Linked DNA regions of Bombyx mori. The protein of the gene in region 1 purifies or fractionates together with the protein of each later gene. This does not show direct contact. Links are inferred from orthologs where the notes say so. Each region holds a gene or a part of one and is shown in the gene's direction. Other genes may lie near its edges.

Evidence for each region. The genes of interacting proteins can lie anywhere in the genome.
Region 2: the proteins of iron-sulfur cluster co-chaperone protein HscB (region 1) and uncharacterized protein LOC101746165 purify together in Homo sapiens (co-immunoprecipitation; 3 studies listed by BioGRID and IntAct, with this or other methods). This does not show direct contact. The link is inferred for Bombyx mori from reciprocal best matches to the Homo sapiens genes HSCB and SDHB.
Region 3: the proteins of iron-sulfur cluster co-chaperone protein HscB (region 1) and iron-sulfur cluster assembly scaffold protein IscU purify together in Homo sapiens (affinity purification with western blotting; 3 studies listed by BioGRID and IntAct, with this or other methods). This does not show direct contact. The link is inferred for Bombyx mori from reciprocal best matches to the Homo sapiens genes HSCB and ISCU.

Annotation. Positions count from the first base shown.
Region 1 is NC_085122.1:7,115,262-7,118,948, reverse strand, and holds iron-sulfur cluster co-chaperone protein HscB, read left to right. Parts: upstream 1-1,322; 5' UTR 1,323-1,505; coding exon 1,506-1,777; exon of another isoform or gene 1,778-1,790; coding exon of another isoform or gene 1,791-1,804; intron 1,805-2,032; coding exon 2,033-2,118; intron 2,119-2,749; coding exon 2,750-3,051; 3' UTR 3,052-3,187; downstream 3,188-3,687. Other genes in the region: transcription initiation protein SPT3 homolog, read right to left, coding at 1-888.
Region 2 is NC_085132.1:953,369-957,480, forward strand, and holds the start of uncharacterized protein LOC101746165, read left to right. Parts: upstream 1-1,312; 5' UTR 1,313-1,766; coding exon 1,767-2,615; 3' UTR 2,616-4,112. Other genes in the region: myb-like protein X, read right to left, coding at 1-121. UniProt on the Homo sapiens protein: Iron-sulfur protein (IP) subunit of the succinate dehydrogenase complex (mitochondrial respiratory chain complex II), responsible for transferring electrons from succinate to ubiquinone (coenzyme Q).
Region 3 is NC_085129.1:12,109,147-12,113,422, forward strand, and holds the start of iron-sulfur cluster assembly scaffold protein IscU, read left to right. Parts: upstream 1-1,476; 5' UTR 1,477-1,590; coding exon 1,591-1,683; intron 1,684-2,531; coding exon 2,532-2,912; 3' UTR 2,913-4,276.

The DNA of each region.
Region 1 (3,687 bases):
CATTCCATTTATAGGACAAAAGTAACGACGCAATGCCTCTCTCACTTCAGCCACTGTTATTGCAGGCACTCCTTCATAACCTGACTTTATATAAACAGCATTACTTAAGCTTAAGGGATTACAGAAATATCCACCTTCATATTTACTAAAAGGGTCTCCGTGTTTCCTTTTGGCATCTTGTCGAATCAAATACACAGCATCAACAATTTCAGCCACAGTTTCGTAAGCAATAAAACACAATACTTCTAATGCCGAGTGACTAATTTTGAGTTCCTTGGTTGGATTGATCCACCTTTCTAATTTTATAAAGCCTTTACCGATTCCATAGCCATTGCAACGGAAAGAACTACATCTAGCTTTATGATAGGCTTCATACTTTTCAAAAGACATTGACTCTGTTAATTTCGAAGCTCGCACTTTCCTTAAGTAATCGATCGCATCGAATTTTATCTGACTCACTTCATCAGCTTCGTCTATTAGTTTTATCACATCAATATGTGTTCTCTTTTTTTTCATTGTCGGATCCTTCTCGTCTTCTAGTATAATATTAGAGTATATAGTTTCGGCTGATGTTGTGACGTTTACTTGTGATTTGTTGTCGATTTGATCCAGTTTTTGCTGGTAATCGTGCAAACGTTTTAATTTTACAGTATTGTTACGCATTGTGTATATTATGTCGTAGTTAGTGATTGTTTTACTTCCTCTCAAGTTAGAATTAAATATTCCTTCTTGTAGGATACTCCTAAGCTGTTGCAAAACAATATTTTCTACTAAAAGTACCGTTGCAGCGTTAGGGTTCGGGTTATCTCCAAATCCGTGCATCATGTTCGATATTTCTTTTTGAAAGTTCGTCCCTTCTCCACATGTTTCCATAGTATAGTAAGTCATTTTGTCTCCAATTCTCAGGAAGATTTTAAAATTACTAGTAATTACTATTTATATTAATTTATTAATTACTTAGGTATGTACATTTTAAGATGACATTTGAAATGCGATTTGTTTTGCATAAGTACCGAGGTCTGATAAATTAACAACACAAATATGTCTTTGCCGAGTATGACAGAGCGCTTGAAATGACAATGACAGTAGACAGTAGTAATTCCATTTTTCCAGCAAGAAAGGCGAAAGGCATTATACCATATAGCCTAATCCTTTGTATTTCTTGGGATAGGTACCAGTTCAGCTATGCCCCTAACATTGCTGACATCCTTGAGTGATGGTAACTACTCCTGATCAAGCGACCCGTATGCTTGTCGGCCTATAAGGGGAATAAAAAAAACTGTTTTATGAAAAATAATATGGAGCGAAACTGTAAGAAAGTAATCTGTGGATATTATCAGCTGATACCAAGGTTTCAAAGTCCTTACTCCTTTTCATATTTAAATGAAAACAAACAAAGTATTTTAATTTTCGCGAAATATTTTTTAAATTATAAAATTTGAATCTCGTGACCGTCTCGAATGTTGTAATACCTTTCATAATATACAGTTTTAGAAAATCTTAAAATGAATTTCCTTCGAATTTTGTCTAACAACAGTACAAAACTGTACATAACACACCAATTTCGTTTTATCTGTTGGTCTTGTGGAAAAGACCCGAAAACCTTGGTCGTGAACCTCTTTTGTTCTAACTGTAATGCCCTTCAGAAACCAAACAAAGAAGACAATTACTTCAAAATAATGGGTGTTAGTGAAACATATGATTTGAATGAAAATGATTTAGCTAAAAAATACAAAGATCTGCAAAAATATCTACACCCAGACAAATATGCTAATAGGTATTTATAATACATGATTTATAGAATGTGATCATGATATTTATAAAACATTTCTACAATATTTAGTGTTTTAATTTTAAATGAAAGATTATAGTTTTGTAAACTAATATTGGGACTTGGCTGTGCCACTTGACATGATTGTACCGATGTGCTATAGTAATCAATAAAATATGGTTTACCTTTATTTTATTTACAATATAAATATATCCTATCCGATTGAACTAATGAAAAGCTTATTCACTTTTTTATTCCCAGAGTCAAAGAAGAACAAGAAATATCTGAAAAATATTCTTCCTTAGTAAATGAAGCTTATAAAACATTGTTGGAACCATTAGCAAGAGGTAAGCAATAAATAAAAATAATTTTGTTTTAATATAAACAAATCGAGGGAAAAAGTAGTATTTTTATTACTCTAGTTAGGCAGCTAAAACTCATCACTCACTTTGCATTATATGCTTACTCGAGTCCAACATGAATACTATCAACCACAAAACAATAAATGTGCTATAGTTGTATTGGAATAATTGCTTGATCCTAATCTTGTTTATAGTTTTTATTCAAGACAAGCCTTAGGTTACTGACATACAAAGCCAAGACATACAAAATACTGAAGATGAATTTTAAAACTCAACTTATATCTATAGTTGTATATAATTAATACAACATTATCAGTTTTATAGGCCTTGTTTGAAGCATTGTGCTTTACAACATATTTATTTAAGTTTTCTTAATATGTTTAGGTTTCTTAACATGCAATATTTGCTTTACACTATTATAAGCTTCTAATATATTTTTCTCTGAATAGAATAAAAAGAATGATGTTTCACATATCTCTTATTATTAGCAAATCATTTAAAAAAAGTTAAAACAATCTTCACAACAAGATTTTCTTAATTTATTTTATAACAGTGATGATAAAGTCTTGGTAATAGTTTCTAAATTGATTTTACGATATTATTTAATTAATTTAAGGTATCTACATGCTTCAATTAAGAGGTAAAGACATTCCTGAAAAAACAGAAGTTGATCAAGAATTTCTTATGAAAATTATGGAGAAGAATGAAGAAGTAGAATCAGCAGAAACGGAGGAAGAAATCATGAATTTAAATGAGGAAAATAAAAATAAAATTCAGTCCTTACAAAAACAGTTATCAACGGCATTCTTTGAAGGTGATCTCAAAAGGGTTACCAAGTTGCTAACTCAATTAAAATATTACACCAGTATAGATAACCAAATACAGTCTGTTATACGAAGTAAAGGAATAATAAGATAACAAAATTTAAATATTGAGTTGAATAAAATTCGAATAACTATCATGTGATTTAATATTATTGTTGTATATTTGAAATTATAGTTTATGTACTAATGTTTTTCGAAAATAAAATATATTATGCAAATACAATATATAATTTAATACCACAATAATTTGGTTAATTTTTGCTTACTTCAGCTGCAGCTTGTAATATTGGATGTACAGTCTAATGCAATTAGATAATGTTTTAATAATTTTAACTTAATATTGGTATAAATAAACATTCGAAGGCAAGAACAAAAATAATTCTTTGCCTGGGGGCACATTTTGATTCTGTCATCGCCCTAACCTGAGTGATAATGTTAGTTCAATCCCTGTAAAAATGAAATGAACCTGAATAAATTATCGTCAAAGGCGACATCATTAATTTTAATTTTTCAAGGTTCCACAGTCAAATGACAAGAACTATTATGAATTCGGCGGTCGTCCTGTTTGTCAGTATTCGTCGCAAGCGACGGGTTCGGCGAGAACGGTGACTGGTGCTTGAGGTATTCATCCGACCAACTGTCTGTATCTTGAGGCTTGGGTCAATCTTCGTGGATTGGTGTCATCTTCCCATACGTACAGAGAACTATTACTTTTTTTCGGAATGTATCT
Region 2 (4,112 bases), on another chromosome or scaffold:
TCCAATTACGGGATAGACCAACTCTTCTGCAGGGCGTAAGTAATGATTTGCTTATACCACCTGGAGTTTTGGGTTTGGGGGAGTCATTATTATTTGACGGTACGGAGTTACTGATGTTCATAATTTCATTGACAGTTTTACATATTTGAATCAAAATTATATCAATGTTAATCGAATTCTTTTAACTGTACTAAATAATATTTACGTCGTACCTATTCTTATAAAGGATTCGCCAATTTTTTCAACGCGCAATATGTAATGTTTACAAAATAACAATTCCTCTCACTACTTTTTACTTCCCGCTAAAACACAATTTAACCTACCTACACCTACCTACCTACGACAGCTGACAGATAAGTATATACATAGATTACACAGTGTTTTTTGTTAGACAACAGTGTCATCTTATAAAATTGACGTCCATCTCTTCTTTCCATCCGGGCGTATCTGAAATAGCCCCCTAAGCTATCAGCGAATAGGTAGAGGAAAAAAACCATAGTATTCCTACTCTTCCATAAAATGCCGTCAAAATTGAACGAAAACTATAGCTTTGTACTTTAAATCAAAAGTTCTTCTCTTCACTGAAAATATTCAAAGGTTGAAGGCATGTATTCAAATCCACTCAATAATCAAACTCGCAAAAATACTAATTTGTGTAATTAGTGGTGGAAGCCCGCGTCTTGTGGGTCCGCATGGGTAGATATCACCACCCTGCCTATTTCCAATGCGAATTGGATGCCAACCAAACCAGTAGCGGGGAGAACAAACAGTATTTATACAATTGAGACTTAGGCATGACTCAAAGTAGGTGGTGACATCTTTTTTGTTAGCTTAAAAACTAAGAAGAGCTCATAGTCACAATGACATGTTGTGAATTAATTGTAAGTTCAATGTACATTTTGAATAAACACAAACAGGAAACATAAAATAATAGACAGTATTGTAAAATTAAAACTTATTTATTTTTTATATTTTTATATCTATTTAGATCTTGTCAAAGCAAATGAATCTTAATTAATATTCTATACCGCCAGACCGCAATACTTTTTCAGAATGCAACGTATCAAGTTATATTGTTTTCTGTCTTGTAACTGATTGCTCTGATTTATACATTTGATAATTGTCGCTTAACCGGTTGATTTAGCGTCTATAAAAGTGCACAAGTTGATAAAATAAAACAAATCACTAGACAAGGTTTCTCGAGATCTTTTTTTTTTATTGCTAGATGTGTGTTAACTTGTTACCGGAACCCATAGACATCTACAACGTAAATGCCGCCACCCACCTCGAGACATGAATTCTAAGGTCACATGTTTACAGTACAACGGCTGCCCTACCCTTCAAACTGAAAAGCAATACTTCTTCATGGCAGAAATTGCCAAGGTGGTAGTACATGCCCATGCGTACTGATAACATGTCCTGCCACCAGTAAATCGATCTTTCAATAATCCATCGAACTTTTGGTAAATTCATAAAAAATAATTTTGTCGTATAGAATAGTTATGTTCCCTTGGCCTTTCGAATAGAATGAATTAAACAAAATGTCAAAATGAAGTAACAAATATGTCAAACGATCAAAATTTCCATTCACTACTCGGCATTCAAAAGATTATCGTTTGGTGGTATAAATCGACTCGACATAATAGTAACAAAACAAGTTACGAACGCTAATATTGTACGATTGTGCTAGACCGTGAAACCCACGAGTCTAGACCATTTAACGTAGTGTAAATTAAATATTTTTATTGTGATTTAAGCATTACATAATGCCTTTGCTTAGGCTGACGACTGGTACCTTCGGGCAGCTGCGTACGTTTGCTACGTCAGCATCCCTCGCAAAACGTGTTAAGACCTTCGCAGTCTATCGATGGAACCCCGATGAGCCCGACAAGAAACCTTATACGCAAAATTTCGAAGTGGATTTGGACGACTGCGCACCTATGGTATTGGACGCTTTGCTGAAGATTAAGAACGAAGTAGACCCAACCCTGACCTTCAGACGTTCGTGCCGAGAGGGCGTTTGTGGTTCTTGTGCGATGAATATCGACGGCGTCAACACTCTGGCCTGCATCAGCCATATCGATCAAAACATTTCCAAGCCGACGAAGATTTATCCTCTACCTCACATGTACGTCGTCAAAGACTTGGTCCCCGATCTGACCAACTTTTACCGGCAGTACCAGTCTATCGAGCCGTGGCTGCAGCGTGAAAATGAAGCTGTTAAAGGTAAGGAGACTCAATTGCTCCAGGACGTAGAGGACCGCGTCAAGTTGGATGGTCTCTATGAATGTGTGCTATGTGCTTGCTGTTCGACGAGTTGCCCGTCCTACTGGTGGAATGGAGATAAGTACCTAGGCCCTGCTGTCCTCATGCAGGCCTACAGGTGGATCATTGACTCCCGAGATGAAGCCACTGAGAAACGTTTATCAAAACTCAAGGACACATACTCGGTATACCGTTGCCATACAATCATGAACTGCACTCGCACATGCCCTAAAGGTCTGAACCCAGGCCGGGCCATTGCCCAGATCAAAACCTTACTCTCGGGTATAGTTAAGAAGCAGCCACCTATAATGGACCCTGCTGGCTTGCAGAAGCAGACAGCGAGCAATTAATAAACAAATTGTAAATATGATATTGTAGTTCAAGGGCTGAAATCTTAACTGTAGCTACAATTGAGTGAATGTTAAGGAGTAAGTTTACTAAATGTAAAATATGACATTAATGAAAGCTGCACAAAAGCTAATGAGTGCTTTAATGATGTTGACTTCAACCTATATTATCATTATAAAATATTTCCATTGGTTATCTCTTTACATAAACATCATAAAATTAGAAATGATGTACAAACAAGCTCAGTTGAAATTAAATAATAAAGCTTATTTGATATTATTTTAAACATTAAAATCTCATTTTGGTGTCTATCCTATGGCCTATGTCATGTACTACTCACCATCTGGTCTGCCTCTTAAAATATATATAAAAATGAAATGAATATAAATTTTTGATGATTATTTTTACACAATTTATGAAAAAAGGAATTATATTTAAGTGTAAAGATATTTTAATGTTAATGTTCAAGTAAAATTCAATCACTTTTTGAACTAAAATATTTGATTCCCTGAAATCAAATGACTAATGTAAATGAAAACATTTGAATGTTTGTCTACATCTTTGTTCAACTCTCAAATTAGTAGCCTAACCTAGCACCTCTTAAAGCTGGGAGTATTTTTCTGACACATCTCTTAACATCTATATTATGATGGCTTCTTTGGTCTTACTTGCCTAATTGAACAGTTTTGAACTGAACAAAAATACCATTTGGATTTTACTGCTGGATTTGGTTTAATAAGAGCTCACAGGATGTGAATCGTAGTAGCCCATGCTTAAGTTGAATATTTTAATATGATATCATTATTTTTAAATATAATATAATTTCGTAGTTGGTAATTATATAGAAATATTATATTAAATAAAACATAATGGATATGAAGATTACAATTTAATGAAAAAAATGTCAATAGTAAAATTAGCAGTATTTCCATTCATTTTAATTTACTGGTAGTGGGACACACTGTGAGACCACAAAATTTTGAACCAATATCCTGCATATTATGATTTGAAGCCATTATATAATACCATTAGACCATAAAATACCCAGTCAGAAGAAAGCTAAATGCATTTCCCTATGTCTATACCACTCGGTACCAGCCCAGAGTTCTTACCCCATTTTACATCAAAATCATGTCGTTTAGTAAATTTCATGACAATATACTTTCTCTTGATCTAATTTTCTTATATCAAGTATACAAAGAAATATGTCATTATATTTATGTTAGCACAACATTGTAGTAACATTTATAAAGGGTTGTAATTATCACAAAGTAGTACTTAATTATTTGATAGTTTTGATAAATTGAACCATTTTCAGATATCATAACCGTTGAATAGACAAAAATCAGGATATTGTACCTTATTATACCTTGTAATTGGAAATCTGGACCAAGCTTCAGACGACCAGTCATTGTGTCACGAACCTTGAGGGAATCTTATTTTTAACGACAAACGTCTACATGACGATGACAGATTCCTAAATTATGTATATACATTAT
Region 3 (4,276 bases), on another chromosome or scaffold:
TAATTTCATAGGCTTCTATTACTGTTTTTAATATTAAGGGATCATATGTCTTATAAGGATTTGCACTCTTTGATACGTACACGCGAGGCATATCTAAAAATAGAAAACAACGCGTAACTGATAATATAAATATTTGCCACATAATAAAATAACACTGCATTGATAATTTTGAATAAAAGTTGTAGACAAAAACATCATGAATAAACCAGATTCTTACCAACAATTAAAAAAAATATTGTTATAATTACATAGACAACCCTAGAAACCTGTACCTATTTATACTTAGGTCGTTTCCATTTCACATATTCTCATCCCAATCGACCCCTTTTTCGTTGTTATTTGTACCTGAGACGTCCCCAATATCCCCAAAAACAACAGATTTTTACATGTATTTTTATTTTATCAAATACATTAATACCAATAACAACTGAGACTTACCTTTAATATAACGGCCGTCTGGTGTAGTGGTAAGTGACATGGTCACTACACAAGGTGGTCGCGGGTTCGAATCCCGCCAAGGGAAGATTATTATATGATAAATATAAATGTCTTTTCCAGGGTTATGGTTGTATATTAAATATATGTATGTGTATAATCAAAATCTTACATTTATTTCCGTTATCTGGTACCTGTAACACAAGTTCTTTACGAACTTATCACGGGACCAGTTAACGTGGCGTGATTATTAGTAAATATTTATTTATTTATTTATTTTATATATGATGGTTCAAACACTAATTTGCGTTTATAAATCACAGTCCTCTTCTATTATTTTAAAATAAATAAAAGAGAACAAAGTTTCTAGCACTAAAATAATTACCACCACAGAAAGTTAATTTGAAACACGATTTTTTATAAGTTATTATCATGCATATTCAGAGTTGTTTTGTGAACTTTCAACATTCTACTATTACACTACAAAAAATGGAAGATTTTGCAACGATTAAAAAACTAGTATTGCGCGTCGAAAGATTTTCCTGTTTTTTTCCCCAATCACCTCTCGATCCCTAATCGCCCCATTTTACGGTACCTATTATTGGTCTTTTTTGGCGGGAACGCGAGGAGTGAAGTTGTATGATTTTTTTTTATTAATTTTGTCTATTTAGTGTTTCTTCAGGTTTAAATGTGTAATAACGGTGGTTTATTAATCGTTTAATATTTGTGAAAGTGCACAAATGTGGGGAAATGAAACAAAGCCACTGAACGTAACTTCTCGGGATCCTCCAAAAAGTCCACTGAAAAAATCTCAGTAAATGACCACCATTTTACTGAGATTATATTTCATCCCAAATCATCTCATTTAATTTCATCCCAGTTTATTAATGTCTCAAATTAATCATCTTCATTTCATTTCACTCCATAATATCATTTTTTATAAAAATATGAATATATTTAAATTAAAATAAGACATGACTTAAAGGTCTTAGTTACCAGGTCACAAAATCCCTTTAAAAAAAACCCAACTATATAGTACTATATACTTGAAAACTTGAAACTACGTCCAAATATAATAAGTGTATAATCTATGACTACGTCGTCTAAAATATAAGAACGTTTATCATCTGAATTTGTTTTTCTGAAATATATAAAATGGCTTTTTTAATCAACGGAATTCGTCGATGTATGTGTCTTAAAGGCTTTGGAAGTCCTAATGTGATTCTTGCGGCACCTTATCATGCAAACGTAAGTACCTATATGCATCAAAAATATTTGCCAATGTCAAGGATTATCGATTTTCTACTTTGCGACGTAATTTTGGCAAAAACCTTGACCATCAGAAAAAGCGAGTAGGAGCTAATGGTCGGCCGATTAAAATGTTAATAATTAATTAAGAGTCTTTTAAAATAAACTCCCGGAACCATTCTCGATTAGAAATTATTTTCGAAATTTAGACATTTCTTGCAACATGCAATCGAAAATTGTATAAATTTTGGAAAGTATACATTTATAATTTCATTTTCTCTTAAGATTTATAACAAGCTCTTTAAGCTGTTTAAATAATAAAATAAGCCTCACGAGTGTCAAGTTTTTGTCGAACAATCCAGAATGTACATTCGATCGAAAATTTATTATTTGAATCAACTTTAATAGTAAATTACTTAAATAAAAATAATACTTAGATGGAAATATCCACTACCTTTTTTTCTACATGTATGTTTGTAGTGTCATCTCATCACCTACAAATTTTTCACCATAAAATTTTCAACTACAAATAAAATACACTTTCATTACAACCATATAGGTAAGAAGAAGGATACATCCTAAGTACTATTAAGGATTGAGATTTCAAGTAATTGTCTAATGTGAGAATTTAAGTTATGCAATATCTTCGCCCTAGTGGAAAAAGAGTGCCAGCAACTGTTTCACTGAGCTAGTCAAAATATTATTATACTAACTAAGGGATTTAGAATTGCCGATTTCAAGAAAATGTGAATTCATTGCTATCTAACCAAAGGGACAAACAAACAAACAATTACAGTTTCAGATTTATAAAATTAGTATGTATAATAAGAGTATACTTTATCTTACAGGTCATTGACCATTACGAGAATCCTCGCAATGTTGGTTCATTGGATAAGAAAGATAAAAATGTAGGTACAGGCCTCGTTGGTGCACCTGCATGTGGAGACGTAATGAAGTTGCAAATCAAAGTGGACGAGAATGGAAAAATCGTTGATGCCAAATTTAAAACTTTTGGATGTGGTTCAGCTATAGCTTCAAGCTCTCTTGCCACTGAATGGGTTAAAGGAAAAACAGTTGATGAGGCACTAAAATTGAAGAACACAGATATTGCTAAAGAGCTGTCCTTACCACCAGTCAAGCTTCATTGCTCTAGTAAGTTTTTAATTGTTAAACTGCAATTTATCAACATAGTAATGATATGTACAAAACTTTTTTTACTGGAACTGTAAAGAGTCAGAACATTTACCAAATTTTTTAAGTTCTTTTCATATGAATTACAGACACTAAGTACTTTAATTTGATACCACACACATGAAGCTATTGTCTGTGATTAAATAAAGCATCATATTTTACCATACTGAATTTTAAAATGCATTATTGGAATAACTATGGATTTGGTAATTACTTAATAACAGGTGGCATGTAAGCTTATTGATCCATCTCAGCAATAAAAAATGCTAAGGAAAAGTTAGTGTAACACAGAAAATATTCTGGTCCAGATACAAATTAAGCAAAATACTATCTACGGTCACGGTGGCATAATAATTTTAATGAATATGAACCATTGAATTAGGACCATTGTACTTGTGCCTTCACTCTGTGGTTGATTTATGATTAGTATACTGGACACTATAGCAGGGGTGGGCAAATATTTTGATAGTCGGGCCACATTGCAGATGAAAATTTGACCTCGGGCAAAACAGTTTTTTTTTTCTAATTTTAAGTATAGTTTTTGCTTAGGATGTCAATTAATAATTTTTTTATAACTTTTGAGAAAATTAGTTCGACTCTTCGAATTGAAAAATATGTTAAGCAAATACATGAGTTTCAGTTTCATTATTTCTTTAGTGTTTTACGATGCATGCACCCTCAGTAGATCTATATATGCTTTTATTTCGTTTAATTTTCTGCCAATTTATTGCGGACAGATATTCCTCCAAATGAAAATTAATATAAAATAACTTGCGTTCTACTATATTGCAGGAGAAAATGGCGGCTTTAGATTTAAGTTATTTTGTTTATTCATGCAATAATGTGATATAATAAGTATAATAACTAATAAAATTGTGCGACTCTTATACATACTGTAATTGTTCAATTATCATAATTATATTTTCGAATAGGAGGCGCTGAAAAGAGGGGTTGTCCGGGAGAACATTTTGGCTCCCACCAGCATTTATGTTATACAAAAACTAATATTTGTGTTTTTAATAATAATAAAATGCTTCACGGGCCAAAAAAAATTCTACCGCGGGCTGGCCTTTAGCCAGGCCTGCTCTATGGAGTATAAAACATGTGCAGGGTTGAACTGTAATAGTAATGATACTAGCTGGATGGAAAATAATCTTTACATACTAAACGTGAACATTTTTTTTTTTATTGCTTAGTTGGGTGGACGAACTCACAGCCCACCTGGTGTTAAGTGGTTACTGGAGCCCATAGACATCTACGACGTAAAATGCTCCACCCACCTTGAGATATAAGTTGTAAGGTCTCAGTATAGTTACAACGGCTGCCCCACCCTTCAAACCGAAATGCATTGCCTCACGGCAGAAATAGGCAGGGCGGTGGTACCTACCCGCGCGGACTCACA